2 linked regions of the Oryzias latipes genome follow. The protein of the gene in region 1 binds, or shares a complex with, the protein of each later gene. Links are inferred from orthologs where the notes say so. Each region holds a gene or a part of one and is shown on either strand. Other genes may lie near its edges.

Region 1 (15,280 bases):
GATTCCTCCGGACTTTTTCCTGGTTTTAAACCACGTTTTTGTCAAACTGTGCAAATGTATTAGTTTTTAAAATTTTGGTGAAACTTTACTTTAGACGGTAAACTCAGTAATATGATGATCATTAAAATACTTTTAAATTTTTGGAATTATATAAAACCAAAGAGTCAATCCAAATGTTTAGGAATATTTGGAGAACAACAGCTGTAAATGTTGAAATCTTTGTCATGGTGGGTGGTTTTTCTGCAATTTTTGACTTTGGTCGTGAATCTGTGAATTGAAGGACACAGTCATCTCCTGCTGGTTGGTGGTTTATGCAACAGAAGGAGGCCCAACACTGAGCCCTGAGGAGCTCCTGTGGCTCTACATTTGCTCAAAGGACTCGGCATGCGATAAAACCATCTATGTACTTGTAAAGATTTAAAATCACAGACACGTTAAAGGTAAAGTGCCAGATCATCTCCTAGAAGCTTGGCGTTCCTGTGATTCCAGCTGCACAGATTCTTCAGAAGTTTACGCTCCAAACGGCTGCAGGCTCTAAAAGTACTTCCTGTGTGTGAAGGACTTCCAGTGTGTGAAGGACTTCCAGTGTGTGAAGGACTTCCTGCGTGTGAAGGACTTCCTGTGTGTGAAGGACTTCCTGTGTGTGAAGGACTTCCTGCGTGTGAAGGACTTCCTGTGTGTGAAGGACTTCCTGCGTGTGAAGGACTTCCTGCGTGTGAAGGACTTCCTGTGTGTGAAGGACTTCCTGTGTGTGAAGGACATCCTGTGTTTGTCCCTACCGTATGGTGAAGTCCAGCAGGTCCTGACCTCCAGGGGTTTCCAGGTTTTGGATGGTACTGACTCTGTGAAGGCTCTGCTGGAGGAAGAGTTGGGCCGACTCCACAGAACCAGAACCAGCATCCGAGTCCACGGAGTCCAGACTGTAGACCTGCTTCCTGCCTGGCAGCTGAAGCGGGAAACAGTTACAAGGGGGTCAGCGTTGAACCAGATCGTTCACCGTTTATACACACTTCAATTTCTTCAATTCCTTTTGGAAACGTTTTTAAATTTCCTGCATCTTCTGTCATGGAGGACATGAAAGGAAGCCCTCACCCTGAGAGGAGGAACTAGGTGGGACAGGCTGTCCCTCAGGTAGGCGTAGTGCCTGAAGGTGTGGTCAGAGAACAGCGCTGGCATGGTCGGACACGACTTGGCGGCGTTGAAAACCAAAACCAGAACCGCAATGTCTGGGATCAGCAGGAGTGAAGAAAAGGAACAGAGAAAAACGTCACCTCCACCAACAAGCTACAACACCCGGAGGAGCCGGTTTGAAAAATAAAAGAGGAGAAAATCCGTTTTTAATGTGTTAATTCATCATTCTAGTGGGTTTTGAATAAATGAGTGTTTGATCAGAGCTGGGACGGCTTCAGCCGTTCTGCTGTCTGCAGACGGCGACTGCGCTCGGCCAAGGATACAGGCCGGGTCGTCCATGTCGGGCTCCGGCGTGTCGAAGTACGGATGAGTGCTGAGCAGCTCAGGAACCAGCGGCAGCACCAGCGTCGGGTGACGAGAGCCCAGAAACTTCAAACACCTGAGCAGAAGAAAGAAAAACCACAAGCGGTTTCTAAAGCAGTTTGACCAAAAATGGTTTCAGAAAACCTCTGATATTTTGGAAGCTAAAGTAACCGTTTCGACAGAATTTATCAGCGTAAATATGGTGAAAAATCACAGAGGAGAGAAAGTTGGCATTCAAAGACGTTTAGATTTACTCAAGTTTGTCTTCACACAATAGAGACTTTTTAATAACATTATCCTAAGTTTGATACGTCTTTGTATGAATGTATAAGCGCTGATTGTAGATGTTCTGTGCATTATTCTTGCTTTGATTGCTTGAAATAAACCATTTCAAATCAAATCAAAAATCAAACCTCCCATTAGGACAGAACTCTTCTTCTGTTTCCAGCAGGATCTGTAATTATTTTCAAAAAATGAAAACGCCTCAGAAAAACCAGCAGGATGTTTGCTCTGGTCTCGGAGCAAAAAGCAGACAGAATCGCTGAAGTTTGCCTTCAGAACTGAAGATCTGGGCTCTGAGGGATGGGAAACGGAGCGTAAACGAGTTCTTACTTCCAGACGGAGTTGCGGTCGGTCGGGTACTTGTTGAGGTTCTTCAGCAGCTCCAGCAGAGCCAATTGGATGCACTCTTTGGTGGACACGTTGGTGTAACAAAGCAACTCGTGGAGAGCTTCTCTGATGTCTCTGGATGAATCCTGGACAGAGAGAGATTCCCTTCACCACATGACCTTCAGTGATTCTGGACCGTGGCGTCGGCGGTTCGGGTTTACCTCCAGGACAGCGAGGACGGTGTCCAGCTGGTCCTCTCTGAGGGTGATGTGGGTGGAGATCTCCCTGAGCACGTGGATGGACTGCAGCCGCACTTCCTCGATTTCGTCGTTGAACATGTCCACCAGGAAGTCCAGGCACTTTTCAGCAAAGCTGGGTGAAGAGCAAGCCAGCTGGCACAGCGCCTCCACCGCCGCGATGCGCACCTCTGAGCATTCAAACGGAGAAACCGGAGAGGCACAAAGATGACGGAAACTCAGCTGGTTTGAAGGAGGACAGCAGCGTAGAAGCTCATTTTGAGAGAAAGTTGTTTCTCGCACCAAACATCTCGTCCTCCAGACCGTGAACGAAGGCGCCGCAGGCCCCCGAGGCGATCAGGCTGACCGTGTTGGTGTCCAGTTTCTCCTTCGGGGCGTCGTCGGCCCACTTCCTGCCGGAGGAGAACTCTCCTGAGGCAAAAAGCTCTTTGGCCCGTTCGTGGGCCGTCCTCTTTCTCTGAACACAAACAGGTTTTCCAATGCACCGAGCGTTTGAGCAGATCCCAGCAGAAAAAGGCTTCGACCACTCACCCGGAGGTCTGACATCAGCTTCTTATCCAGAGTCTGCTCCAGGAAGTGAGGACTGACCTGCAGCATTGAGCCCTGAAACGCCAGACAACAGCCGATGAAGACTTTCCACCATAAAAACACTCATCCAACAAAGTAACGAATGAAAATAAAGTTCCTCTGATTTTTTTATTCATCTTTGGAATATTTGGTTAAGATGTGAGCATATTAATAGAAGAGCACAAGAGTGTTTAATGAAGCCTGGACTTAGAATCCCTATGAAAGAAACAATATATATCATTCAGTTTAACAAAACGATCTGGGTTCTCTAGTCCACAGAGACTCTGAGTCACCATGTCCATCTCTTTAAGAAACATCTGGAGAAAACCTGAAATTTAAATGATTAAAATCCTTCTTGGATCATCTGTTGATCTATTTTCAAAGAGTTCCCGGTGGTCTTTTATATTACGATGATGCTGTTTTTGAGCCAAAATCAAAATGGTTTTGTCAGAACATAGTTTCTGTAGGAGTTTATTAGAAATTCACGTGAGTCTGCTCTGGATTCACAACAATTTGAAGAAAGAAATACTCAGAAATGCTATTTAAAGCGTCATTTTCTTTATAAATGACCATGAACACATTTTTCTTGTGGGTCTTTAAGAAGGGTTTTGTGTCAGATTGTTGTAAGGCAGAAACACCACAGATGCTAAAATCTCTTGTTATCTGGATCATCTTTTTATCGTCTGTAGAGATGCAGACACACGCAGAGTGTAGGTTTCCAATAAACCTATCAGGGCGGGACCTCACATATGGCACTTACACAGAGGCTTTTAGGATTTTTGTGTGGTGAAACATTCAGAGTTTTTGAAAACAAAAAACTATTTTGGTTTATAGTTTTCCTAAAGCAATTAAAACAGTAGTTTATAGATAAATGTATTTTTAGTTTCTTTAGTTATTCTGGCTGTCACTCAGCATTTTATTTCTTTTTTTCCATATTTTGGTCTGAATTAAAAACCTTTTTAATTTTTCTTGAAGGGATATTGTTGATTGAATGGTTGCGTTCAAAGACAGTGGGAGAAAAGAAATAAATCTTTTTTTTTTCTTGAAAGTAATCAAAATGTGATTGAATTACTGTCTTAAACATTTCTCTTCAGGAAAAATAATTTTAAAAGCAAATCACAAATGTTTCGTTTTACCAGAGTTTTGGCGGCCTGCACCCGAACCGTCCAGGAACCATCACTGACCATGTGACTGATCTTTCCAAACGCATCATCAACCAACCGGATCTCCTCATTGGACGATGGGATGGGCACGATGCTGATTGGACAGAAAGCAGGAGGAGTCAGACAGCTGAAGAGAGAGGAACTTCCGACTGAGGAGTAAATCCTGCGTTTTCTTGTTTTTTTTCCCTACATGATGTGGATTTAAATTGGAAACTTCACCTTTCTGGATACAGCTGACTGAGAACCCAAACCATCTGCACCGCTGCAGAGCGAACCTGCTCGTAATCATCCGACAGAAGTCTGCAGGCCTGCAGGAAACACCAGGAACACGGGTCAGCTCCTCCTCAGACCTTCACCCGGGCTCACGTCAAGAGCTGAAGAAAATCCTCAGGATGCTGTGCTCGTGGCGGCATTTTAATCAAAACCAAAACAGCCTGGACCTTTTGAGTTTTTTTCAAAATAAAAGCACTTTTACCTTGAACCCAATTTACTAAATACACCCAGGTAAAAAAATAAATAAATCAAAAACCCCTACGTCTTTGAACTACATATGTTTTTATATGGGCCCGGCCTCTGACTGGCTGGAAAGGTGCAACACTTAAAAAATAATTAGTATCTTAAAACTAGTTGTTAAATAAAGAAATAAACATATTTTTCAGCTGTGAGTGAAACCTAGTAATCTGAAATCTCTTCACTGATTCCATGTTTTCTGTTCCAAAGCATCAAATCCCTCAGAATCTGACCTAAATGTGAAAACTATAAACCTGAGCTCCTACCTGCTCATAGATGATCTGATGGATCTTCATTCCTCTCTCGTGAAGCTGCAGCTGAAACAAACAAAGTCTTCAGATTAGTTATGCACTTCGTGGGATCTTTGTTCAGCGTCCGGTGTGGAGGTTTTTGGCAGGTAAAGATGCTCCGCTGTGACCTACCATGGCCTTCAGGGCTGCGGTGCGGACTCTGGGGTCCTGGTCTGCGAAGTAATCGCTGATGATGGTCTGAACTTCTCTCACAGCTCCTGTTGTTCAAGTCAAAGGCATAATAAGAACCCATCCTGACCCAAACGGCTGTCATGTTATGCTTCAGAAGAAAAGCTCTGAACAGCCTGCAGAGTTTCCTCTTTAAGACATTCAGACCTGAAGACGAGCTCGATCCCTCGCCGTCTTTAAGCAGAGGAGCGTCCGCCACGCCAAGACCTCCCAGCAGCTGCAGACATTTGTTCCTCACCCCGAAGTGCGTATCAGACAGATGCTGCAGAGGAGACGACCACAACTATCAGATGCTGGAATGTGTGTATGTAAATGCATGAGTATGAGTGCGTGCATCGGTGTGTGTGTGTGTGTTCTTTTTATATATGTAAATGTCTGTGAGTGCATCTGCATTTGCGTGTGCTTGTGTGCCCGTGAGTGTGTGTTTGTGTGTGTGCTACCTTGCAGGCCACCTCGGTCAGCCTCAGTCTGACTGCAGGACTCTCTGGCAGTTGAGTCCCGATGACCAGCAGAGTGCCCAACAGCTGAGCGAGGACTTGATGGGAGTCTGTCCACAGAGACAGTAAAGGGTCTTTGAACGCAACATGAAGCCACAAAGGCCGACAGAGAGGACAGTTGAGGTCTGATGAAAATAAAAAGGGATGGAGTGTGTCTCACTCTCATTGCTGAGGGTGTTGATGGCGTCATCAAAGATGCAGTCCGGGCTGAAGCCCCGGGTTTTGGACAGCAGACCGAGCAGAGAAGCGATCTTCAGCCTCACAGAGTTGTCGTTTTCCTGACATGAGACACATTGGCGTGACGCATTTCTCGGTTCAAACAAAGGTGTCGAGTTCTAATATTCAGAAACTATCTAGAACTATTTAAACAATTGAAATGTTACAGTAAGAATAAAAAGTAACGCCTCTATAAAATTAAAAGCAACTAGAACTTTCTTTTCACATTTTATACTAATAAACATTCAAATCTAAATCTTAGAAATCTATTTTCCAAAGAACGACCATTGCCCCGCCCACATCTCCAACATCCATTCATCATCTTGTCTTGTGGAATCCTGCTCAGGGTCATAGCGGCTCTAAAAATCACATTGTTGCTGATCATTATCATCGTTTACCTTGTAGTAGTGCTCGAGCAGGATCCGGATCACGCCCTCCACGCTCTCCGCCTCCACGGGCTTGCGTGCGAACTGCAGCAGGTACTGCAGCGCGTCGGTGGAGTTGGTGGCTTTGCAGAGGTCAACGTGCAGCGCAGCAGACTTGCTGGGTTTGGACAGACGCAGCTTCTTGGCCGGAGCTTCTTCATGAGGAATCTGAAAACACGATGACAGTGAAGATTATTTATGCAAAAAAAAACAAAAAAAAAAACATAGAAAACGTTTCAATCTTTATTTAAATGATTAAAGGTTATTACAAAAAATGCAAAGACAGGATCAATGTTTATGATTTTTTAAAATATATTCAACATGTGTTATTACCACCTAAACATCCTTTCCTACTCAACATCTGAGAACAATTTAATTAAAAAGAGTTAGATTCTTTTCATAAAATCTGCTTTATAAAGATACTCAAAAACTTTAAAAAACAAAAACAGTTCCCCTCTGAATCTGATGAGCTTTTCACATATAGCCATGAACAGGATTCACAGAGCAACCAGTTAAAGTATAAAGTCACATTTCTGCAACATTTTAAATCAAAATAGAATCTGTTTTAATGAATATGTGGGTATGTTGTTAATGAATAGAATGGATTTCTGTCTTACTAGTTCCTGAACATACAGGAAAAAACCTGGCTGATAGAGATGACCACCAATATCTGAACCACGTCTGATTCCCAAGTTAATGGGCCTTAAAAAGAGTTAAATTTTAGGAGAAAACACATAAAAGTCCGAGGACATCTGAAAGCACCGCTGAACGACTGCTATAGCTATATCAGATGCTAACCACTTTAGCTAGGCTGCAATTGGCCAAATATTTGTGACATTAAAGAAAGTCAGCTCCACAACTTGACCTTAAATGAAGTCACCAAACATGTACAAACTCTAATGTGTGTTGAGTTGTTGAAGCTGCAACGGGTTCCTGTTGCTGTTCAGTCAGCTAATCAGTTAGCATGCGCAAACGGTCCTGTTAGCTTGAAAGCGCAGTTTTTAGCTTCATATTAAGGTCTTGCGCACAAAAACAAGCTGACGAACAAAACAATTATAACGTTTACCTGAACGACTTTTGAAAATTCCTCGTACACTCGCTTCTTCAAATGTGCTGCCATGTTTCAGTAGGTACGCACAGACAATTCTTTCCTCAAAACGCAGAATTGTCCCCTTACACTTTCCGTAGCTGTGAAAATGCATTGTTTTCCTACGGAAGCCGGGAGTGGAGAACTCAGGGTAGTCCGCAGTCTATGAATGTCCAAGACACCCTTCAGTTTTTTCATAAAATATTAAAATATTTCTTTGGCCTATAAAAATAACTCCTTGTCTAGAAATATTAACTTTAGAATTAAATTAATTAATACGAATGAATACGAATAAATTAATGAATTATGTGCATTAAACATGAATATTTTAGAACAAGCCAAGAAATAGAACATCTTTGAAATCACCATAAAATATTTTAATTTGGAAAACAATAGCAAAATGTTTATAAAGCAACTTTAGAAGAACAATAAAATAAAAGCACTAATAGCCAAAAATCTGATGATATTTTTTATTGTTTGCATATAAAGATAAAAAAAAACAAGTATTTTTTTACAAATTTCCTCTGACTTGTATAAACATGTGTTCAAACAAATAAGTCACTTCAGTTAAGACAGTTAAATCCAGTAATCCGCGCTACCTTAAGAAAGACAGGGGTAGTATTTAACAACAAAATATTGAAACCATCTACAAATTTCTAAATTTAAACACATGATTCCATTATAGAGAGAATGAGGGCCTGTAAAGTTTTACACTGTTTACATTCAAATATCAAGTTTTTTTCTAGACAACTAAAAAAACAGTAAAATGTACTCAGATGAAAGCTGAAGTGCAGATTGTTAAGTTAGGAATAAAAGCTTAAGAGTGAAGAAAATGAATAGTGTCATTGGGAGAAACATCATCTCAAAGGTCAGTGATTGATTCCCATGGTGTCATGCTGCAGAGCAGCAGCTAACATCTTGTTCCTCTTTCTATCCGACACCCATGTGACCAATCCCACGATGCCGACCATGAGCGGCAGAGCCACACACAACACAATGCGGCTGATGGGCAGCCGGACGGAACACAAGCCGTCAGCAGGAGGCTGCAGAACACGGGCGGAGGAGGTGTTTTCAAACAAAAAGGAGGAGGTGAAGTCCCAATGAGTCTCTATTTCGCCTGGCTTGGTCTCCACCTGACACCTCCACCTCCTGCCGTTGTCCTCCTTCTGCAGATTCAGGACCAGCGTGGCGTTGCAGTGAGTTCTTTCAGTCAGTTGATGCCTGGAGGAGAAGCACGATCACAGCTGTGACTCTCATTTCAAAGCCTGAATTACAGATTTACTTTTTTTCTGCAGATAATCAAACTGATTCATTTCAATTTTAAGTCACACAAAAAAAGAAAACTTGAGAAATAAAAATTCAGTTCTCCTTAAGTTCAGGGATCCATACATTTGTTTTCTTTGAGCTCTAAAAGTCTATGTGCACCCCTAATTTATTTAAATATTCAACATAATCCAGGTTTATGCTCAGTTTATTTTTTTTTGTTGTAAAGTATCAAAAGCAAAAGAATGTTTTCTTTCCAACCTGCTGTGATTGTCCATTTCTGTCCCCTCTTCTGCTAACCAGCGTAGCTTAAAACTGCCGCCTGAATACTGCCTGCAGTTTCCTGCATCATAGTAGCTAGAGAGGATGCAGCTCAGGACGACCGTCCCCCCCGGCCTGAGCTCCATGATGTTGGAGGGAGAGCTGATGGCGAGGATGGACAGGTAGACCGTAGTAACGTCCCTCTCATGCTCCAAGCAAACGTAGGAGCCCACGTCCCCCAGGGCAAGATCTCGAAGGATGAGGGAGCAGTTGGAGGCGACAGTCAAGCGACTGGCCTTTTCCGAACTTCTGTTCACCTGCCCCTGGATCACCTCCTTGGAGAAACGCACCTGACCGCTCCTGAAGAAGGTCCAGGTGATGGAGGAGCAGTCGGAGGAGGCAATGGAGCACAACAAGAGGGCTTCATCCCCAACTTTGCTGTACACAAACACAGTGTTGTCGTCGCTTCTCACACCTGGAACATGCAGACATTAATTTATTAATTACATTAATTTATCTTCAGTGACATTAAAACCCATCCCAGCATATTTTGATTGCACACAGATCATTTGGGTTTACACTATTAGAGACATAGACGCAACAAACAGACGTGGTTTTTTCGGTGGATTTCTGGCCTTCAAATGTAGCTCTCTGGATAAAAACGTAGTATACCAGTACAAAGTTTTGTTCATGAAACTAAAAATAGCATAAAAAAACAAAAACAATACTTCTACAACCACACAATAAGATACAGACAGAATAGAAACTTTATAAGTCCCCCTAAGCAATTCATTTAAAGCATAATCTCCACATAGAACAAGGTAAAAAAAATGACATGACACTTACAACAAACACAGTGTGCAAAATAAATAATACAATTTTAAAAGTAAAGAAATAAAGCTTTATAAGACATGTGCCTTACTACTGTCAAGTGTAGCCACTCTAATTATAAGGTTTGATGCAATTTTGAATAAGATATATTTTTCTTTGCTGGTCCAAAAAAACGTCGACCTAAGGGCAACAATAAAAAATAGAGTTCTATTTTTTTGCTTTCTATGGAATTACTAATATTATTACTAATATATTGTAGTTATTAGGTGACTTTCTAGAAAGTCAAGGTCACTTTACAATGTAAAACACTACTCTGCTCTTGAAAAGTAAACTGCATCCACTGCTGCCTGATGTAAAACAACAGAAGCTACTATACCGCCCCCTGTGGCCAGATTCACTAATAGCAGTGTAAGATTTCCTGACAAAGGCGGTTCAAGAATAGAAAAATACAGATTTAAAAAGAAAGAATGTGTGGGTTTAAAGTCATATTCCCTGTTTTTAATGTTAACTGGGGAGTATTTAAATATTCCATAATGAACTCCAGGAAACCAGATTAAACTGTAAAGTTAATTTGGTAATTAAAGCTTCAACAAACAAATCAGAATGTCAGCACGGAAAAACCTCTTTACTTCTGCTATAATCCAGAACAAAAACTTTCTGCTGAACCAGTTTGACGTTTTGACAAGAGTCTAAAGTTCGTTTGGAGTTTAATAAAAACTTTTACATTTTCCTTTAAATCTCCTCTAAACTTTTGAGATTCTTTCCCCTCATCTTGACAGAATAAGTTTGTTTAATTTCTATAAAAAAAAATAATAATACCTATTACAATCTGCCTATGCCATCTTATTTACATCAGTTTATTGTTTATTTATTTCGTTTTATTTCTCAGGGAGCCAGATTTAGACTTTTTTTTCCATCTGTTGTGTCCGGACAGATGTTAAAATTATCCACATAAAAAGCTAAAAACAAAAATGAAAAAAACAAACGATAAATAACGAAAAAAAATTACAAGACAATTACAAATGCATACATTATGACACAATAAAATTATTATAGAAGACATAACTCCATAAAAGGGAGAAGCATAATTCAATATAAGAATGTAAATCTAAAAAAATTTTCCAGGTGAAATTCTCTTAAAGTTTAAAATCTTCTTTCTTGAAACTTTTAACTCATCTTCGTGGCTTCGAGAAGGTTTTAAGTCCAAGACATCATGTTGACATCCCTTTTTCCTATAATGTCTAAAGCCGAGCAGCTGGAGCAAACCGAGTGAAGAGGAGAAGGAAGAAGCCTTACCTGAGAGGTGCAGGCTGAGGAGCAGCAGGAGGCTTTTCAGGCGTTTTCCACCTGTCATGTTTGTCATTTCACCTCCACCACAGCTCAATCTGCTCTGCGGGTGCGCTCTGCAGGCAGACACCTTTACTTTCCTCCTGTGACCGTTTCCTGCTCTAGTGACACAAAATTACCTTCAAAAGAACGAGAAAGGTCTTCATGTTTCGCTTTATGTCAACACCTTCAGATTTTCAGCAGCTTTTCTCTGCTTCTCATGACTCGTCTCTATTTCTTTTTTTTTTTTGTCAGCCTTCTGCAAACTAAAAATCTAAGTTATGTCCCTTTTTATGGCTTTCAAAAAGCACCATTGACAGTTTTGACATTTAAATCTCTAAAAAGATGGAAATTGTTTAACCAAAAGTGTGCAGTGAGGATGAAACTCTAAATATATTTCTTGCCACCAAAGTAAAATGAGAGTTTCATTGTAGGTCACCCACCTCATCAAAGATCAGAGTCACTCCTCTTTGGGTGAGAATGAAGGTGTGAAAAAACATTTCTGCAACTTTCAGCGCTTTTAAGACATCGGCCTGCAGACGTCAGGAGGACAGACGACGTAAAAGACATTTTCCTGAACAAGCTGCTTGTTTTCTTGAAGGCCGACCGACGTTCGAAGACGCTGAGAGTCCAGAAAGAGCAGGAACGAGACGACAACAATCCTGCCAAGATGTCATGAAAATGAAGGTTTCCTCAGAGGAACTGTGACGGTGAAATGCTGATGCAGCGCTGCATGGTTCTGTTAACATGGATGAAGAAGTGTGTGAAGTAAAGAATAATCTAGAGAAAATCTTTTAGGTGACGCACGCCAACCCTGCAGAAACTGAAACCAAGAACAGACGTGATTTATAGATGTGCTGAATCTGCACTGTAATGGCTTCGTGACTATGTTCCCAACAAATATGACGCCCCCCCCCCCCCCCCCCCCCCCATGCTAAAGATGAGTCAGGACTGATGACTTAAATGAACTGAAATGACAGTTATTTTACTGATTAATTATTTTTTCAGGTTGATCCATGTAGGTAGTATATTCGTGTTTGGTAAATGTCTTTCATGAATTGATACACCATTTTTAATTTATTGGAATTACACATCAAATTGATTACTTTTCTTCACTATCTTTTTCATCCAATAAAAACAAGTTATTTCAGGGAACCAGTGGATTCTGGAAAAGCTCCTGAAACAAAAGCTCAAATGATCTGTTACCATTAACTGTATATGAGAACTGGACTGAGTGGCGTTCCAAACAGGAAGTACCTGCTGGCTCCAAGAAGCTAAAATCCCATAGAGAAAAAAACGGTCATTCTTTTGGTCTGAATAACCATTCTTGACCTGATAAGATTTTTTTTAACATATTCTTGATAATCCTCATTTTTTCTGTGGTTCATAATATACAAGTTATAAGCTGACCAATCAGATGCCTTAAAAGTAGGTGGAGCCTGCTGACCCCCACATCCAACGTTCCAACCGTTGATGGTGAGCCGAACAGATATGGTGACGTCCATATCAAGAAAAACAGGCGACTGAACTGACTTCATTTGGTTGGAGACGGAAGTAAACCATTTTCTATGGATGACATCACACTCGCTCACTCCACTTCTCCGATACAGTCAATGAGACAGGTCTACATTTTGATAAACAACATTACACACCACAGTGGTGGGGCTTATCTCTGCAAATGATGAGTCTGAGTGAGAAACTGCTAGTGTCCCTCTACCGCAGCGCAATAGAGAGTATTTTAACACACTGTGTCTGTGCCTGGTTTGCCAGTTGCACAGCTGCAGCTAGGAAAGCTCTCCAGAGAGTCACTACGAGAGCCCAGAGGATCATCGGCTGCCCTCTTCCATCCCTGGAAAAACTGTACAGTTCCTGCTGGCTAAAAAAGGCTCAGAACATTCTGCAGGATCCATCACACCCTGAACATTCTCTGTTTGAACTGCTGCCTTCAGGCAGAAGATACAGGACAATTAAAACAAGGACAAACAGATTAAACAACAGCTTTTATCCAAGAGCCATCGTGGCCTTAAACACTGCTAAACAAGGTTAATTTATTAAGAGAAGCGCGCAATAGCTGGAGAAGGTGTAACCTACTGGTGTTTTATATGGTCTTATTCGCAGTTTTAGTTGTTGTTTTTTTTAAATTACCTTTTTATTCCACCGGAAAATTGCACTGTACTTTTGTTGTACGACGTACAATGACAAATAAAGATATTCCTATTTCTATTAAAGCAGCCGCCTGTCATCTTCAAAATACTTCCAGGATTAAAGATATGATCTGTAAGCAGGACCTGGAGAAACTAGTTCATGCATTCATCTTAAGTGTAACCGTGTTTTTACAGGACAACCAAGAACATCAATCGGGAAACTGCAGCAAATTCAGAACTCTGCAGCTCGGGAGACCAAAACATCAGTCCAGATCTGAGGTCTTTCCCCTGGCTGCAAGTCTGCCAGAGGAAAGACTTTAAGGTTCGGATTCTTGTTTTATAAAGCTTTGGATGGATCCGGTCTTCTGTCAGTTGCTAGAGTTCAAACCAAACATAGAGAAGCTGCATTCAGCTTCTAGGCTCCACAGATCTGGAATAGACTAGCAGAAAACCTTAGATCAGCTGAGACACAAAAGTCCAGGTTAAAGACCCGCCTGTTCTCAGCTGAATTAGATTAGATTTTATCTGCACTGTTACTTTTAATATTTCTCTTTTGAAATTTTAAAAATATTTATTTTGGTGATCCCTCCTTTAATCTTTCTATAAAATGTTTATTTTAATGTTTTAAGTAAAGCCCTTTGAATTGTGTTCATAAATAAAATGTGCTGCACCGATAAACTCGACAGACGATCATGAAATCAAAGAGAAAAATCGGATTATTTTGTCCTAATCTTTATTGAAAAATGAGTTCAGGCTGCATCTGCTGAAGGAGGAAATTCTGATTTTCGTGTTTTATCGTGGATGAGCAGAGCCAGAGGGGTGCAGTTGTCCTCTCTGCTGACCCGTCTTGTTTTTCCCCGTGCTGATCACACAGGATGTGGTGGCGTGCTCCACCTTGTATTGTGGTGAAGTCACAGCGGCCCTGCCATCCAGCGCGTTCGCCGCTTGCACCTTTCAGTTTCCCTTCAAGCGGTTGTTGGATTAGCCAACATTGAGAGTTTGACGCAGGACTCCGGTCCGAATCAGAATTTCCCCTCAAAGCTGTGAAAACTCTCAGCCGGCGTGACGGCAGCAGACGTTACACAGACAGATGCTGCGAAGCTGCAGGAGGGAAAGAGCCGTCCGAAAAGCTAGAATATCTGCAGGAACTTAAGACACAGTTTCACACCCACATGAGTGAAAACAGGCAAACTTTGTACTTTTGATAACCCCTTTCATCTGAAGGGACGATGTGTTTTCTGGTCTCACCGCCTCATCACCACCAGGTGAAGGTGAGTTTGTAGAAGAAGTTGTAGCTCCTGGACAGGAACAGCCTCCCTGTGACGTGAGGCTCGATGCTCACTCTGTAGCCCCGACGCTCAATGTCCATCTTCACGCAGTCCAGCAGGTCTTTGACAGACGGCGTCGCCCTCCACGGCCCGAACGTCACTAACGAGTCCTTGTCCGCCTCCAGGTTGTTTATGGCGTTGTCGTGGAAACCCAGGTCCTCGTCTGTCCGCAGCACGCAGATCAGGATGGAGGAGTGACGCGTGGCGACGGCCTCGGCTCTGGCGATGCGGATCAGCACCTGGGGGACAAGAGATCGGATGATGCAGAACCACCTGAGCTCATATGGCGCAGATTTCCATCGTTTCTGCTCTCCTCCAGTCTGTGCAGGTGATGAAACAGGGAGATCCACGCTGCACCTGCTGATTTCTGCCAGAAACCTCCTCAGGAGGTTCTCACAGGTGGAGCCGCGGCTGAAAGGTTATGCAATGCAGTCGTCTCCGGTGAGCACCACCAGAGCACCCCCAAAGAAACGTTGGTTCTTAGTTAAAGCTGCAGACGGGTCTCCTCTGTGGAACACCTGGTTAAGCCCCATTTATGGTATGAGAAATATGTTTTCCTCATTTGACCGTCCCCTGAGGGAGCGGTGAGGTGCATGTTTGGAACCATTTGGTGATTTAACCCCCCAATCCAAACCCTAAATGCTGAGTGTCAAACAGGGAGTCATCAGGCCTCATTTTTAGAGTCTTTGGTTTGATTTAACTGTGGATTTGAACCTAGATCTTTCCAGTCTCAGGTCAGACACTCTACCACTAGGCCATTGGTTGGTTTTCCATTGGTTGGCAGCTAAAGGCCAACTCAGGGAAGGAATCAGTTTTCTTGACA
Region 2 (15,236 bases), on another chromosome or scaffold:
CCAGAAAGCTCAAGAGCAGCCACAGCAGCAGCCGCCCGCCGTGGCAGATGATGACTTTGACGACCTTAGTCTGTTCGTGTCAGGCAGTGGCAGCAGCAGCCTGCACAGCTTCAAACTCAACACCACCGACAGCAGTTCCATCCTGTCTGGTCTGCCGGGGGAGCTGGAGGCTGCAGACGACCTGCAGGATCCACCGGAGGCAGAGGCTCAGCAGGTGTGTATGCTGCATTGACTCATTAGATTTAAGGATTCTTTAGTTACCAGGTGCACACTTGTAGCAGGTAATATTAACGGTTTGAAGCAGAATTACTAAATCAAACACTGAGAAAAAAAAACAATTTATAAAAGTAAAATGACTTTAGAATGTAAGATAAAATATTTCTTTATAAAATTACATTAAATTGAATCTTCAAGCTAACCCTAACTCTCTATTTAAATGACATATTGAAAAAAGGCTGTAGCAATACAGCATTTTGCTGGTAAAATGCAAAAAGTAAAAAAAAAAGAAAGAAAAAAAAAGACAGCAGCTAGGAACAAGATGTTGTTCAGTCACCCCTGCTGAGAATTGATAAAACAGTGCCACCCTCTGGATTGACAGGATTGTGCAGTGTGTAATCTGTTTTCAGTACTGTCAACACAAATGACGTATTTGCTGTCATTACACCTAAAGTGTGTATTTCCACAGTTTTATGCCGTGTATGCGTTCCAAGCTCGCTGCGCCCAGGAGCTGACCTTGCAGGAGTACCAGCATGTCCGCATCATCCAGTTTTGTGACCTGGGGGGCAATAAGGAGTGGTGGTTAGCAGAGGCCAATGGACAAAGAGGATATGTTCCAGCTAACTATCTTGGTAAAATGTCTTATGCATAATTCAAGGTCTTTTTTTTTTACTCCTTCATACTTAAAGGTAAAAACCGAAGGGGAAAAAAAGGGGTTACAGGCTTTATAAAATACTTTCCTATATTTGCAATTTTCAGCAAATCTTTACTCTTTTTCTTTCCTTTTGAAACAGAAAATCCTAAATACATTTTCCCATTTCTAAAAATTTCTATTTTCTGAAACACATTTTGTGCAAAAACAATATAAAAAAGGATGAAAAGGGAGAAGCTTGCAAAACCATGATTCCAACAAAGGTTCAAAAAAAAGGAAGAAAAGTACTTCTTTACCCCTTGTGCTATCTTAGATGACCCCACCCTTACATTGACATGTTATCCCTACCATGACAAAGGTGGATAGAGGTGGAAAAATTAAATGTAATCCATGGAGACCAGTGAAGATCACAAATCATTGAAGAAAAAAGGTTTAGCGCTCTGTCTAGTGGGTCTAGATGACCCAACTCCCAATGTTAAAGTGCCTAGGATAGCACAAGGGTTACATCAACCCGAACAAATATCACTAACTTTGTGGTTGACCAAAAATAACTGCTGGAACAAGCAAGGTTTTTTTGTAGGAAAAATGCTGCTTCAGGGCATTTTTCGTAGTTTTGTAACTTCTCCATTTCAAAGCGCAAGTCGTCTTTTGATGTGCCAGCTGGCAATACACCGATTGCTTATTCTCTCCCTCTGATTAATTTTCCTTGAAAACTTCAGTCTGTGATGAAACCACAAAACAGCAGCTCATCTGTTGACGGGCTTCAGCCCAGACAAATGGCAGACATCTCCTCATATGTGACTGTGTATTTTAGGGTACTTCTGTCTTGTTTTTTAGACACATGATGATTATTGGAAGTGTTCTGAGCCAACACAGGGATATAAAAAAAAAATGCATGTCTGAAGGGGATGAAGATCGTTTCAATCTGTCCTTTTGATCTTCTCTCTTGTGAAGACATCACTGAATCTTTGCAAATTCTTACAATTTCACATTAAAATATGAAAGTGACGGTCCAGACAGCTTTCAGTGAGGATGAACCCTTGAAGTAGGATTTCTGACTAAAGTCTGTTTTTTCTCTCTTAGTGTTTATGAATAAAAATATGAACATCTACTAAAAAAAACAGCAAATATAATAACATATATGTTTCTGGGATGCATATTTAAAGCTGTGTTTTTGAGTTGTCCAATTACAATGAGTTCTTCCATTATTGGATGATGGGCGTCCCTGATGGGATGGCCATGTTTCATGATGGTAGTGTCATGTGATAAATCACGCTGAGAATGAGTGTTGCTAAGGATGTGGGACTTTAGCAACCGGGAACCTTTAAGTTCAGGGGTGTCAAAACTTTTTGCAAAGAGGGCTAGATGTGATGAGGAGAATGTTTGTGAGACCCTGCAGCCTGCATCAGCCAGCAATGGCTGTGAATCTCATTTTCAAAGCCCATGCAATGTTCTTTACCAGTTAGCATCTTCTGTCTCGTAAACCTTCTTGATATTGAACTCCTTGAAAAACAGCCAGTCTCTTGGCATGTTAGGCCGACACAGATGTTATATTTCACAGAAAAATTTCCACTTGAAAGGAGTGGGCCTCATTGTCAGCTTACGTTTCTAAAAAAAAATTTATTTACAGTTCACATCTTAGAAATGAGCCAGAAAGTGTCACACTATAGTGTTTGCCACAGGTTTACAATGGTTTATAACGTAATCACATTCAAGAAATCGTCTGCACAGTTTTTCAGAAAGGGCTGGGAGCCCCATATTTTTGATTTTATGACAGGAGCCCGCGGGGCGGTGGAATTTTAACACAGGTCGCATTTGGCCGGACAAGTGCCGGACTTTGGACATGCCTGCCCTAGAGCGTGCGGAAGGCTACAGAAGCCAAACTGGCCTGTTATCATGAAAAGAAAAAAATGTCTCGAAAAAAATCGAATGCAGCTCGGAACTAAAATAAATAAGTGCTAAACTCTATACTAAAAAGAAGAAAGCTTAATGTTATTTACTTTTATAATAAAAAAGTTGGGAAATATTTTAAATAAAAGAGTTCCTCATGCAAAAGTATTTTGACAAAATACTGAGTCTTAACAGTTTGGAAAGTGAAATGTTATTTTCTTTTAGCACTGTTTCTTTTTTTAACTCTTTGCTGATGTCAAACAGCACTTTTTGAAAGCAGATGCAATCAGTTATGTTTTTGTATTGAAATGGTTGATCACAGTCTTTGTCTTTGTGAGAATGAACCACAAGAGCTCGCCTACGCCTTTGAGCAATAACGTGTTAAAAAAAAGCGAGCGGTTCCATTAAAAAGCAAACAGCACTTTTGCTGAGCACTTTTTGTTCTTCAGTGTTGTTTAGAGTAAAAATGAAGTGATTTAAATATGAAGTAAATACAATATATGTGAGAAGATTTATAGAAGAAGATATATGAAGTATATTTGTCAACGATCTATGAAGGTTTAAGAAACTATTTTGTGTGCATTTAAAGTGAAGAATTTTATCATTGGTGTTGAAAAGGTGACATTGTAAATAAAAAATGATGTTTATGAATAAATTGTTGTGGTACTTTTGTTCATTTTATATGGCATACTGACTCGCATCCACACAAGAAACACCAGCTACAATAATTTTATAAGAACAGGAGATTTAATGACATTATAGGTAAAAAGGAGCATTTTTAAGGGATCAGATCTAATGATGAAGTGACATTTTTCTACAAAGTTAGCTTCAAGTATGCTCCATGTGCAGCTCCTCAAGTTTTTGCAAAGTTCTGGCAATGAATTCACTAATTTCCTGTATGTTCCTTTCATCTTTTCTCTATGCATCCACTTATTTCTTCATCTTTTTCTGTGCTGCTTTCTTCTTGACCATTTGCAGCCGTTTCATGGCGTTTAGTTGGGATTCTTGAGAGGTTGGTGCTTTGTCTCCTGGAGCGCCTTTATGTCCATTACCGTTGTTTCCATTACCTCCTCCATTATTGCTGCCACTGGAGCCTGTTTGGGCGTTGCTCGGAGAGCCTGCCCCAGATGGCGAGGACACTTTCCCCGGGTTTTCTGTGCTCGACGAGCGACTGACTGGCTGCTTCCCCAAAGTCAGAGGTGGAGGAGGCTTGAGAGTTACCTGGCTGGAGCCATTTCCATTGTTGTTTCCAACGACTTTTCCTCCTGCAAGTCCTGACTTGGCTCCAGCGAGCCCTGACAACCCGACAGGTTTCTGACTAGGAGCTGTCAAGGTCTTGCTGCTCCCGCTCGCGCCAGAGGAAGCTAGTTTGGAGCTAGCGGGAAGAGAGGGGTTTGTTTTGGCGCCAAATGCAGCCCAGCCTGTCAGACCGCTGCTAGAGGAGGAGGATGTTGAAATAGTGGAACTCGCCAATGTGACAGGTGGCTGTGTGACAAAAAAAAAAAAAGAGAAAAGAATCAAAGTTAGGAAACTAAAGGATGTCACAAATTCGTCACATTTCATCAAAAATATTTTAAACCAAGAAGCAACCCCTTACAATTTCACGCTTGTCTCATTTCTATTAATCTTAAATATGTAACTTAAAAAATAAATAAAAAGACAACTTTGCTTTAAACCAATCCTTGGTTTTTAAGTACAGCTAGAGTAATTGCGTTTTTCTTATTGACTAAACTTTGTTACCGTGGAAATGTGAAAAAAGAAAATGGAAAAAAAAAAGTAAACATGATGCTTTTGCATAGGTATTACAAACAACTCCCCCCCCCCCCCCCACAACTGCTAATGTGACTGCTGCAGTTTTAAATGTCTGAGATATGTTTCTACATTCACATTTTTGTGCCAGAGGATGAAAATTTCATGTTTTGTTGTTAAAGATTTTTTTGTGCTTTGCCACCTCAGGTGGACCTGCTGCGTTGTTTTTAGTTCAAACTGTTTAAAGCTTCTAATGCAAACGTTATTTTTAGAAAAATCTTCACTGCAATTTCTTTTTACAATTTTAACATTTACACGGTATTTTCAAGTACTTTTTTAGTTTTTTACATTTAGATATGGATAGAAAAAGGCCATATTGTGCAGCTCCACATGCTGGTTCGCCACAGACCGGTTCAATGTCAAGACTATATTTTCACGGAACGGTCCGAACGGGCAAAGTTTGTGTTTAATCTTTTTAAAGCTTCTGGTTTCTGAACACCCTATTTTTTCAAATAAAATACTATAACAAGAAATTTTGTAAAAAAAAAAAAAAAAAAAATCAGAGACCATTAGCAGATTTTTTTAATTTTATTTTTTAACATATGACAAAGATTCAGTGAGTCAAAGTTGTTTATTTGTAAATAATTCAATGAAAGCAAATTTATAGTTTTTTTCTTCTTCTTTTACATAGAAAACCATTATAATAAATAACTCAACTCAGTCTGAGATCATCTTTCAGGGCAAAAAGACTGATCATATTTTGTTTTTACATAAATTCAGATTCACTGTGTATTTTTGAACACAGAGAAACATTTTCTCTGCTCTTATGTTTATTAATTCTCCCTTGCTGTAGAAAATGTCCCCTTTACAAGTTTCCACGAATCGAAACTTTATTTGATTGACACAATCATTCCCTGTAAATTGTTTGTGGATAGTTTAAATTTAAACTTTGTGATGAAGATTTTCCCTTTAATGTCAAAGTGGGGGCTAACAACCAGACGCTCACTTCAGGCACGTCCGGCTTTTAAGATGAGAAGGATAAATAAAGCAAAATAAATGACACAACTCACTTATTTTCTAAATAATAAACATGAGTTCATCACGTTTGCAACGTCATTATCGGGATGAGTGAAACATTCAAATGTCAGTCACTTCATATCAGACAAGCGAGCAGCTTCTGGTTCATGGGAATCTCAATAAATCCATATTTAAAGAACGACTCCTGATTTTGTCTGCATATAGCAGCTTTATTTTCCTTTGAAGTCAAATGTTCTTCCTCTGTTTCCACACTAACTCTTCTCTCCCCAAAGAAACTTTTCAAATACGTTTTATTGTTTGGTTTTGATTTGCCTTTAAGCGTTGAGCAACCAACTTTGCCTTGCGAGGTTCCGAGCAGATGCTTAAAGTCACGAGACGCGTTAAGACGGACGGATGTGGTAAACAAAATCCGGTAGTTTTTCAAAATAAAACTCTCTTTAGTATCAGAAAATACACTACTCTGTTGACAACGCTCTGGCTGCACATTTATTTTTCTATGTGCAATTATTCATTGAAAAAGAGCTGCTGAAAACAATTTCATTGTGCACTGCATAAAGATAATAAAAGATCGTGATAAACAAAACAGAAATGATCGAAGTTAGTGTATACATTTTTTTTTCTGTCTGCGGCCCGGGGGGTTGGAGACCACAGGTCTAGACGACAAAAGTCACCACGTACCTTCACCTCTGTCCTTTTGAAGGCTTGGAAGGTGTTGGCTGTGTCAATCTTAAGCTTGCCCTCCGTTTTCTTCACCAGCGTGTCTTTCACCACAGGCACTGATGATGCAGATGCAGGAGACGGTTTTTGTGGAGGTTTCTGCGCCTTGAGAACACACACACAAAAATCATTAGCTTTAATGAAGACTGTTGGTCCTGTTGCCATGACTCCCAGCTGATCACTATAAGAGTCAATACCCGAGCACAGGAACAGCTCTCACCATGCGTTTCATTTGCCTGGTACAACGAGCACAGTACCACACAAGGCGGGGGTCGTTGACCTCTTTGTCTGTCACTTGGGGCTTGTGGCAGTCCTGGTGGTACAGATTATGACACTCCTGACACTCCACCAACTGGTTTCCCATGGTCACCGTCATTTGTCTACAGTTCAGAGAAACGCAGACGCAAAAACAGTTGAGTGAAGAGAATTTCATACCAACTCGCACGTTGTAGAAAGAGAAACTGGATCCACAAACCAGAAAAATGTGCAAATAACAAAGAAACTCAAAGTTTCATTTCATTTCATTTGATAATTAACAAGCACCTGCAAACCACACAAGCCAGTCCCATTTCCATGGCAAAGTCGTCAGCATTAGTTTCATCGTAGTCGTGTATGTTGGGCATGAGGTCCTTGCTCGTCTGAACAGTTATAGGGGACGAGCGATTGTCCGGTTTCTCCAAGCGGGACTTTTTTGGAGGATCCACTTCAGACAACTCCACCCGTATCTATTTGTCAATGAGACAGAGAACGTATGAAATTTGAAAATTCATACCAACATTGGTGTTCAATCACACAAGCTGTTATGCTTAAAATAACCACAGATTGAGAAGAAAGTCCCAAGCAATGTCTATTATTATTATTTTAAACTAAGGATGTACATGTTTGTTAGAAATGGACTTGTTCATCTCGCTGTGGCATCATTTAGTTCATAAAATAAAGTAATAATATTCAATTACAAGACCCAGGAAAGCCATAAATCAAGACTTCGATTATTCATAAAAAAAAACAACCTTTAAGTTGCTGATATGTTAAAATAATGACCCATGTATGTTTTCTTTTTCTCTTTCCCTGATCAGGCATCCTTTTTCTGGTGTTAAAAAAAAGTCTCAAATTTTATTCCAAACATTTTTTTTTTGAGTGTTGTCATTTCTTTTTGCATTTGTCAATATTTTATGTCTCTTCAGGGCTTTATTCCTAAATTCTAATGATTGACAATTGTTGCAGCTTTAATTGGAATCAATGTAAATCCTGAAGAGAATTAATGAGTACAGTCCAATCATGGCACATGGTGTCATCTAAACATACATGATAATGTGACAACACTTTTAATCCCCCACCTTCTCTGATGGCCTCTTCTCTGCTTCTTTCTTGCTCTTCTCTGAACTGGATTTGGAACTTCCACTGTTGCTGGAAGATGGAGTGCTCAAAGACTTTGAGTCTTGCTTAGTCAGGCTCAGTTTGGACACAGAACTTTTTGGCATTTCCAAGTCCTAAAGATGAACACAGCAGAAAAGAGGAGCAATAAGCTCCATACGAATGAATTATCACTGACAGCGTAAGACTATCTTTATAAGAAGCGGATCTTACTTTTTGTAATGAGCGGTAGGAGGAGTCACCTCCTCTCGCAAGGGACTCATCGAGTAAAGCTTTGAGTTTCTCTGCTGAATCTTTGTTCTTGGAGTGCAAATAACCCAGAGCCTTTAAAAAAAGGGGGTCCAACTCCAAGCTGACAGGTCCAGCCATGGCCTAGTTAGAAAATGATTGAATAATGTTAGGTTTTCATTGACGTCTGCAAATTACAAATGTACACTTTGCTACAATACAAAACTATTTCATCTTATCTAGATTGCAAATTAAATATACTAACTATAATAAAAAACAAAAACAAAAACAAACATTTATTAAGTCAGTCACACATGTTTATAGGCGTCTGGGAGCATTTACAACAATGAATATCAATGATGAGCATATTTATTCAAAGTTATAGTTTGCTAATTACAATTGTAATCAAATAAAGCAATTTACAATGAACTATAGGCTGTCAAAACTAACAAAAAATACAGCAACCAATAAAAATGTTCATTTTTAAGAGTTTTGCCTAATAATGGGTACACAAAAACGGAACGTTTTTAAGACTAACCAGCTATTTTTCCTTATTTGCGGTATTTATTACAAGAAATCCTGCCTCTGCATTATTTACTACAAATATATAAAGAAATATGATGCCTGTGTCTATTAAAAACAACCCACAATGCTCAAATCCAGTTGGTAGGGTTTAAAGTAATCGTTGGTAGCAGATGGACGGAACAATATCACTGCGACACCGTAGGTAAAGTTATCTTCCCAAATGTCACCAACACGTCAAAATCCCCAGTCTATAGCTTTAAATGGGTAATCCTACCTCACACTCAGTTTCTGCAAAATGTTGGTCTCTGCTGTAGATATTTCTGTTTAATAGAACTCTTTCCACAAAGAGGAAATCGCCGCTGACGTTTTATGTCTTTCACAATGTGCACCCGATAAATGTGTCCGGAATCTAAGTGGGCGGCGCAAGTAGAACAAAAAATATACTTCACGTAATAGCAAAGCGAATTTGTTTTTTGTTTTTTCACTCGTATTTTTAAATAAGTTTTATTCTAACCGACTTTCTATCAATAAATGCATTTAAAATGTATATATTTTAACGACCAGCTGGTGGCGCTGTGGCAATACTCGACTCAATAACTCGTAGTAGAAGAAGAAAAAGCAGCACGCTGATAACGTGATGTTTGTAAAGTAGCCGGTCTGTATGACTTCTTTCTGACTGTTTTATGGCATTATTAGCAGTTGAAAAGACAAATAGTGATAATAAAAAATACTTAAACATATTTCTCCCATTCACAGCATTTACCATGACACACGCCGAACAACCCCCGTGCCTCTACTTAGAAGTTTGCAGCCAAAACGAGCAGCTGCGTCTTCCCCTGCACTCTTCTATAGTTCTGTTTCTGCTGTCTTACTGCGACTGCGAGTCTTTCAGAGTGTTTCTCGTCCTTGGCGACAGCAGCAGCTCCGAGCCTCTGAAGAGCCAGCTTCCAGCATCTGCAAGTCTCTCAGACGTCCAGGTGGACGAGCTGCCCAAACTGGTGAGCAGCTGCCGCCTCCCCGCTGCTCTGGATGAGAGCGCGCAGATCTGCAGGGCCGGACTGGCGGTGGTCCTCAGACACATCATCGACAAGAGCATCGAGGCTGACCCTTCCAGGAAGGATGTAGCAGCTCTGCTGGGCTTCAAAAAGACCTGCTTAAAAGCCTGTGCAGAGGTTGGTGCAATTACACTCTATCACGTCTCTGTAGGTTTGTTTTGGTTGTCAGGATGGAAAAACACAAAAAGTCTTTATGTGTGTTTTGAAAATATGAAAAGACCGTGATGCTTTGCATTAAAGGGCATCAAAGTTATGCAGTTTTACATGAAAGGAACAGCTGTTGTGTTTGTAGGCAAAAAGATGCCACAAAAATGACACCCCCCCAACACAACACCAAGTATCATCTTACAGTTTCAGGTCAATGTTGCCATATGTTACAGAAAAACAGCAACATTAATTATCAGACATTTCCCCCCGGTGACAGGTGGTGCACCTTGCCAACAAATTATGGATGTAATGATTAATTGACTAAAATCGAATTTTATTCCTATGATCCAACCAGATCTTTCTGACGCAAGCTGTTAATTGAATCGACCTATGAAATCATTTCAAAATGAAATAAATTGATTATTATCAATATTGGAAAGTCCCATTTGGATTGAGGCCTTGTGGGTGTATTTTACTATAACATAAAAACTGACAGAGTGCCATTACAGTGGGCAACACACATGTGATGGCAGTAAAAAAAGATACCTACAGTCTTGTCAAATTGACTCCATCATTGAACACCTAAAGGCAGGATTTGTTGCTAGCAGTACAAGATGACCCAGACCAAACTGCATCTACATATACAGTCAGGACCATAAATATTTGGACAGAGACACATTCTTTCTAATTTTGTTTCTGCCTGGAGTTGATTAGAGGACTCGTGCTTGCATTTGGAAGATTTTGCTGTGAACAGACAACATGCAGTCAAAGGAGCTCTCCATGCAGGTGAAAGGAGCCATCATTAAGCTGAGAAAACAGAAAAAAACCATGCCAGAAATTGCTACAGTATTAGGAGTGGCAAAATCAACAGTGTGGTACATCCTGAGAAAGAAAGAAAGCACTGGTGAACTCAGCAACGCAAAAAGACCTGGACGTCCACGGAAGACAACAGTGGTGGATGATGGCAAAATCATTTCCATGGTGAAGAGGAACCTGTTCACAACTGCCAACCAAGTGAACAACACTCTCCAGGAGGTAGGCGTATCAATATCCAAGTCTGCCATAAAAAGAAGAATGTATGAAAGTAGATCCAGAGGGTACACTGCAAGATACAAGTCATAAGCCTTAAGAATAGGAAGAAGGCTAGATAGGTCTTTGCTCGGCATGCATTTCACTTGTTGCAGACTAAACTTCAGACAGAAAGGCCCACAAAGAAACAGCAACAGAAAGCCACTGCAGTAAAGGCCTGGCAGAGCATTCAGAAGCAGAAAACCCAGCATCTGGTGATGTCCATGAGTTCAAGACTTCAGGCTGTCATAGCCAACAAAGAGTTTCCAACCAAATATTAGTAATGACCATTTTGTTTTCAGTTATTTCATTTGTCCAGGAGCCCATGAAATGAAGGGATTGCCTTTAAAAAATGCTTTAGTTTTTCACATTTTTATGCAATCTTTTTGTTCAACCCATGGAATAAAAGCTGAAAGTCTGCACTTCAATGGCATCTGAGCTGTTATATTTAAAATTCACTGTGGTAATGTAGAGAAACAAAATTAGAAAGAATGTGTCTCTGTCCAAATATTTATGGTCCTGACTGTATATTTAGTTGCCATCTTGCTGTCATATGATACACTACAAAAAAGTAACATTTTGTTGAAATTATACTTTAAGCTTCGGTCACAAGCATTTTTTTAAAGAGCTGTTAAAAGCTCTTTTGATCATTTTTTCTCAGGGAATTTTATTTTGAAATCGGCCAAAACTGTCCAAAGCGTCATATAGGTGTTGAGTAAAGTTCTGTATCTCTTTCCCCCTGCAGGTGAGCAAGTGGACCAGACTGTGTGAAATAGGCATTCCTTCTGCTGTGGAGGAACACCTCCATAACCCAGGAGATGTGGGGAAGCAGCTGCCTCTCCCTGTTCTCACCCTGGAGAGCCGGCTAGCAGAACCCGTCAAAGTCCACAACGACGACAAAATCCGGAGGCAGAAGCTCCAAGAGCAGAAACGCAGGGAGAAGCTGGAGCCTGTTGGAGGCCAGGCGAACAAGGAGCCGTCTCCAGGACGTCCGCCACAGGTTTCTGACGAGCTGGAGCTGAGGGCAGCTTTGGCTAAGCTCTCTGTGGTGTCAGTACCGGCGGTAACCACCAGGGAGAACTCTGAGATCAGGAAAGTGAAGACCAGCGAGCTGCCGCCACTGGAGCACGTGTTCGCTGAAGGGCTGTATTTCACTCTGACTGATGTGGTGCTCTTGCCATGTATTCATCAGTATCTGGTAAGGGATTTGCACCGGATCATTGAGCAGTGTGACTTATTCAGAGTGCCGTGATAAGTGAGCCCTCATGCTTAAGGACGCCAGTCTTTCCATTTTTCAAGGATTCCTCTGCTTTATGATCCATAAAGACACTCTAAATGATCATTTCATTTTGTTATTACTGCATAAACCTTAAACCTTCGCTAGACTTGACACGTTTTTCTTCAAAAACCTTTGAGGACATTATTTCGTCCCGAGCCGTTGGTGAGGGTCATTATTCATATTTGGTCTCCCTACGTGAACCCTTGCAGGGCCTTACTTCCCATTATGCACCTCTCTGTTTGAAAAGTGAAGTTGCAAGTTTTAACTGGCTTGCTGAGACTTTTATTGTGATAACTTGTCAAATTATGCATGACGTATGGTTTTAGCACTCCGGTCAGGGTGAGCAGACTCCTGTCAGGTGCATTCAAGCAGAAACTTGAGTAAAGAGGACTTGGCACCTGTTTGCTCTCACAGGTGGTCCGGAGCCATCTGGCAGAGCCTGATAACAGCGTGCGAAAGGGTCGCACATTAGGGAGGTTAAAATGCATTTCATTTGGGAACTTTTTTTTTTTTTTTTTTTTGCAGAATCGAAACACTTTGGTTTTTTTTATTGACCTAAAGTTGAATCAGATTCGAGTGCGAATACTAAAAATGAGTGCCGCTCATTTGACAGTAGGAACTAATTTAACAGCATTAAAGTGCTTTCAAAAGGAGCAGCAGTGGTTGAAGCTTGAAAAAAACAATTTAACAAAATACTTAATTAGCTCTTTGGAGAAAGAAAAAGATTGAGCAATTTTAAAGAGTTATAGAAGTTTAATGGAATGTCTACAGATATAAAATACTTGTTGATTTGTAAAAATACTCTCCTCTCAGGCATTCCCATGAGTCTGTCAGTAACTGAACATGTTTGCCCTAAAGCACCTCCAGGTGTTTCTAATACCCCACAAAAGGAATGGGTCTCGCTGGAGCCAAAATATTTGATTGTGGTATTTTGACCAACATTGTTATTCAAAACTAAACAAAAAAAAACTTACCACTATGTATGAATGGTATGGATTATAATTTCTGCAGCAGTAAATTAAAACATTACTGTAGTGATGATTATCCCTATAACAGTTAGACGTATACGTCCTGCAGCCTTTTGGTGCTTCCTTCACATTTAGAGCTTTTAGCAAGACTTAGATTAGTACATTTTATCTAGAGTTCTTTATTCATTTTTTCCCCGTTTTTATTCCACACTTTTGTTCTGGTAAGCTAACAAATGTTTCATTCATACCTGTTTTTCTGGCATGCCATGATAAACTTCAAACTGCATTGCTTGGTTAAATCCAGATTTTTGCATTGTTGCTTTCTTAGAAGATTACATGCATTCCCTAAAAGCTTGGGTTTTTGGTTCAGTCTTTTTAGGGAGCATTACTGCTAAAAGACTGTGCCTTAGCTGTGAAAGTTTCAGCAAAAATGAGTCTTGCAGCTTTGTGCGTTCATAGTTGTGTCCTTTTGGCAGCTGCCCTTAAATCACCACTTGGGTGTGCAGGGTTTACTCTATTCCCAAATTTAACCAGTTTCTCCGTCCATTTTTCTAAGATTTCACTTTTCTATTTTATTGTTAATAAACTCTAACCTGCAAAAAAAAAAATTGAAACTGCCTTTTATTTTCATTTAGTTTGTACTTTGAATAGGTTCCTACTTAACAAGCATGTTATTCCTATGATTAACTATCTGTTTGTGCCTCAAAATGATCTATATAGCATGTTTTTTCTTAACACATCTCAAATTCTTCCCTTTTGTGAACCCCGTATTATTAAAAATGCCTTAAAGTTTTATTTAACAAACAAAAAAAATATGAGTATTTTTCAATATTTAGATGGAAAAAAAGAAGCTTTTTTTCCCTTTCAAATCTGAAAACTGAACATTAAGCACAAGAATGTCACAGGAGCAAATGTTCTGTTTGTGTTTTTGATTTTACTGGATAATTAGCAGTAAAAGTATTTCCTTTTACATTTCTTTGGAAAACCATTTGCACCTCCATGTTTTCATCTTGCCTGTGCTGATAGCTCTTGTTGGACCTGTTCTATGTCGTTCTGGAATGCTTTAGTGAGTCTCCAGCCTCAGTTTCACCTCTCAACTGTCTCAGTCTGTTCCTCAGATGTTGGGATTTAACTGATGTTCTCACAGTGAGGCTTTTAGCAGTCAGCTGTGCTCCAGTGGTTTCCAGTTTCATACTCAGCTTAGCGTGTTTTCTCTGTCCACAACACACATCCCACGCTGTCTCCTGTGGCTGTCTTCTTTATCCGTGATCACAGCTTTGTTTGTCTTAGGTTTCTATGCAGAGCCCCGGTTTGACTAGCAATCGCTTGTTAAACCTGACATTTATAACGCGTTGGTCCGAATCATCTAATCAATACTCTGCTTGTGTTCTCCCTCCCCTCATTTTCATTTGCTCTGCTTATCTCGAAGTGTTCCCTTCAAGCCAGTGCCCCCAGCGCTCTGCAGCAGCTTCCCAACCTGCTCCGTTGGTACAACCGTGTTCAAGAGGTGCCCGGTGTCATGCGGGCAGCAAAAGACTGTGGGCTTCATCTGTCCACCCTCCAAGTTGCCACGACTTGCCCTCCATGGCCGTCAGCCCATCCTTCAGCGACCCTGCTGGAGGAAGAGGGAAGTCAGGAGACGACCACGCCACTTCCGTTCGTCGGGGGCCCCCGGCCAACGATGACCAAACTTAAAGTAAAGCTTTACTTTCTTTTTACCTATTCAACCCATTGACTCTATATGAGAACTGGATTAAGTGAGTGGGACGTTACCCACAGAAAATGACTAAGTAGTGGTTGGTCAAAAACGGTCTTAATCATTGTTTCTCTTTGGAGTGTAGCGATTAATCGATTTATATTCCTAAGATCCAACCAGGTTGATTTGTCTGAGGCAAGTTGTGTAGTCAATCGACCTGTACCATTACAAAATCATTTCAAAATGAAATAAAGCAATCATAATCCATATTGGAAAATACTGCTCTCACCAATCAGGAGTGAGCTTGTTGGAAGGCCACACCCCTTCCACTTGAAAGCAGGCTCTGGAGAATCTGTCAATCAAATGTTTCAAACGTTCAATGTGAGACCACCTGCTTGAATAACTTGCACTACAGAAAAAATATGAAAATAAAAAAAGTGTGAGAACAAGAATGGTTATTCTGACAGAATAACTGAGTGAGTCACATCTGTTTATTACTCAGGAGAAGTCTATGCGGGTACTTCCTGTTTAGTATGCCATGGGGGGCAGGGGGCCCTCAGTCCAGTTCTCACATACATTCAAAGGTTTTACCCTAATGCCTTCAGAAAGTGTTTGCTAGATAAAATCTACAATG

Evidence for each region.
Region 2: ints4 (region 1) and ints12 share a complex: the UniProt entries of both Homo sapiens proteins name them as parts of the integrator complex. The link is inferred for Oryzias latipes from reciprocal best matches to the Homo sapiens genes INTS4 and INTS12.

What each region holds. Positions count from the first base shown.
Region 1 is NC_019871.2:2,454,629-2,469,908, reverse strand, and holds the start of ints4 (integrator complex subunit 4), read right to left. Parts: upstream 7,416-15,280; 5' UTR 7,338-7,415; coding exon 7,284-7,337; intron 6,386-7,283; coding exon 6,191-6,385; intron 5,855-6,190; coding exon 5,737-5,854; intron 5,627-5,736; coding exon 5,520-5,626; intron 5,342-5,519; coding exon 5,227-5,341; intron 5,109-5,226; coding exon 5,023-5,108; intron 4,918-5,022; coding exon 4,867-4,917; intron 4,399-4,866; coding exon 4,310-4,398; intron 4,185-4,309; coding exon 4,064-4,184; intron 2,964-4,063; coding exon 2,892-2,963; intron 2,818-2,891; coding exon 2,643-2,817; intron 2,531-2,642; coding exon 2,325-2,530; intron 2,250-2,324; coding exon 2,107-2,249; intron 1,571-2,106; coding exon 1,455-1,570; intron 1,227-1,454; coding exon 1,093-1,226; intron 947-1,092; coding exon 780-946; intron 1-779. Other genes in the region: uncharacterized protein LOC105355351, read right to left, coding at 8,174-8,525, 8,829-9,303, 10,956-11,022; BTB/POZ domain-containing protein KCTD14, read right to left, coding at 14,385-14,696. UniProt on the Homo sapiens protein: Component of the integrator complex, a multiprotein complex that terminates RNA polymerase II (Pol II) transcription in the promoter-proximal region of genes.
Region 2 is NC_019859.2:15,813,389-15,828,624, forward strand, and holds ints12 (integrator complex subunit 12), read right to left. Parts: upstream 9,156-15,236; coding exon 9,153-9,155; exon of another isoform or gene 9,146-9,152; intron 9,045-9,145; exon of another isoform or gene 8,889-9,044; intron 8,783-8,888; exon of another isoform or gene 8,664-8,782; intron 8,009-8,663; coding exon 7,850-8,008; intron 7,753-7,849; coding exon 7,600-7,752; intron 6,988-7,599; coding exon 6,806-6,987; intron 6,643-6,805; coding exon 6,483-6,642; intron 6,368-6,482; coding exon 6,224-6,367; intron 4,244-6,223; coding exon 3,689-4,243; 3' UTR 3,481-3,688; downstream 1-3,480. Other genes in the region: arhgef38 (rho guanine nucleotide exchange factor 38), read left to right, coding at 1-214, 686-868; gstcd (glutathione S-transferase C-terminal domain-containing protein), read left to right, coding at 9,154-9,561, 11,405-11,857, 14,336-14,602. UniProt on the Homo sapiens protein: Component of the integrator complex, a multiprotein complex that terminates RNA polymerase II (Pol II) transcription in the promoter-proximal region of genes.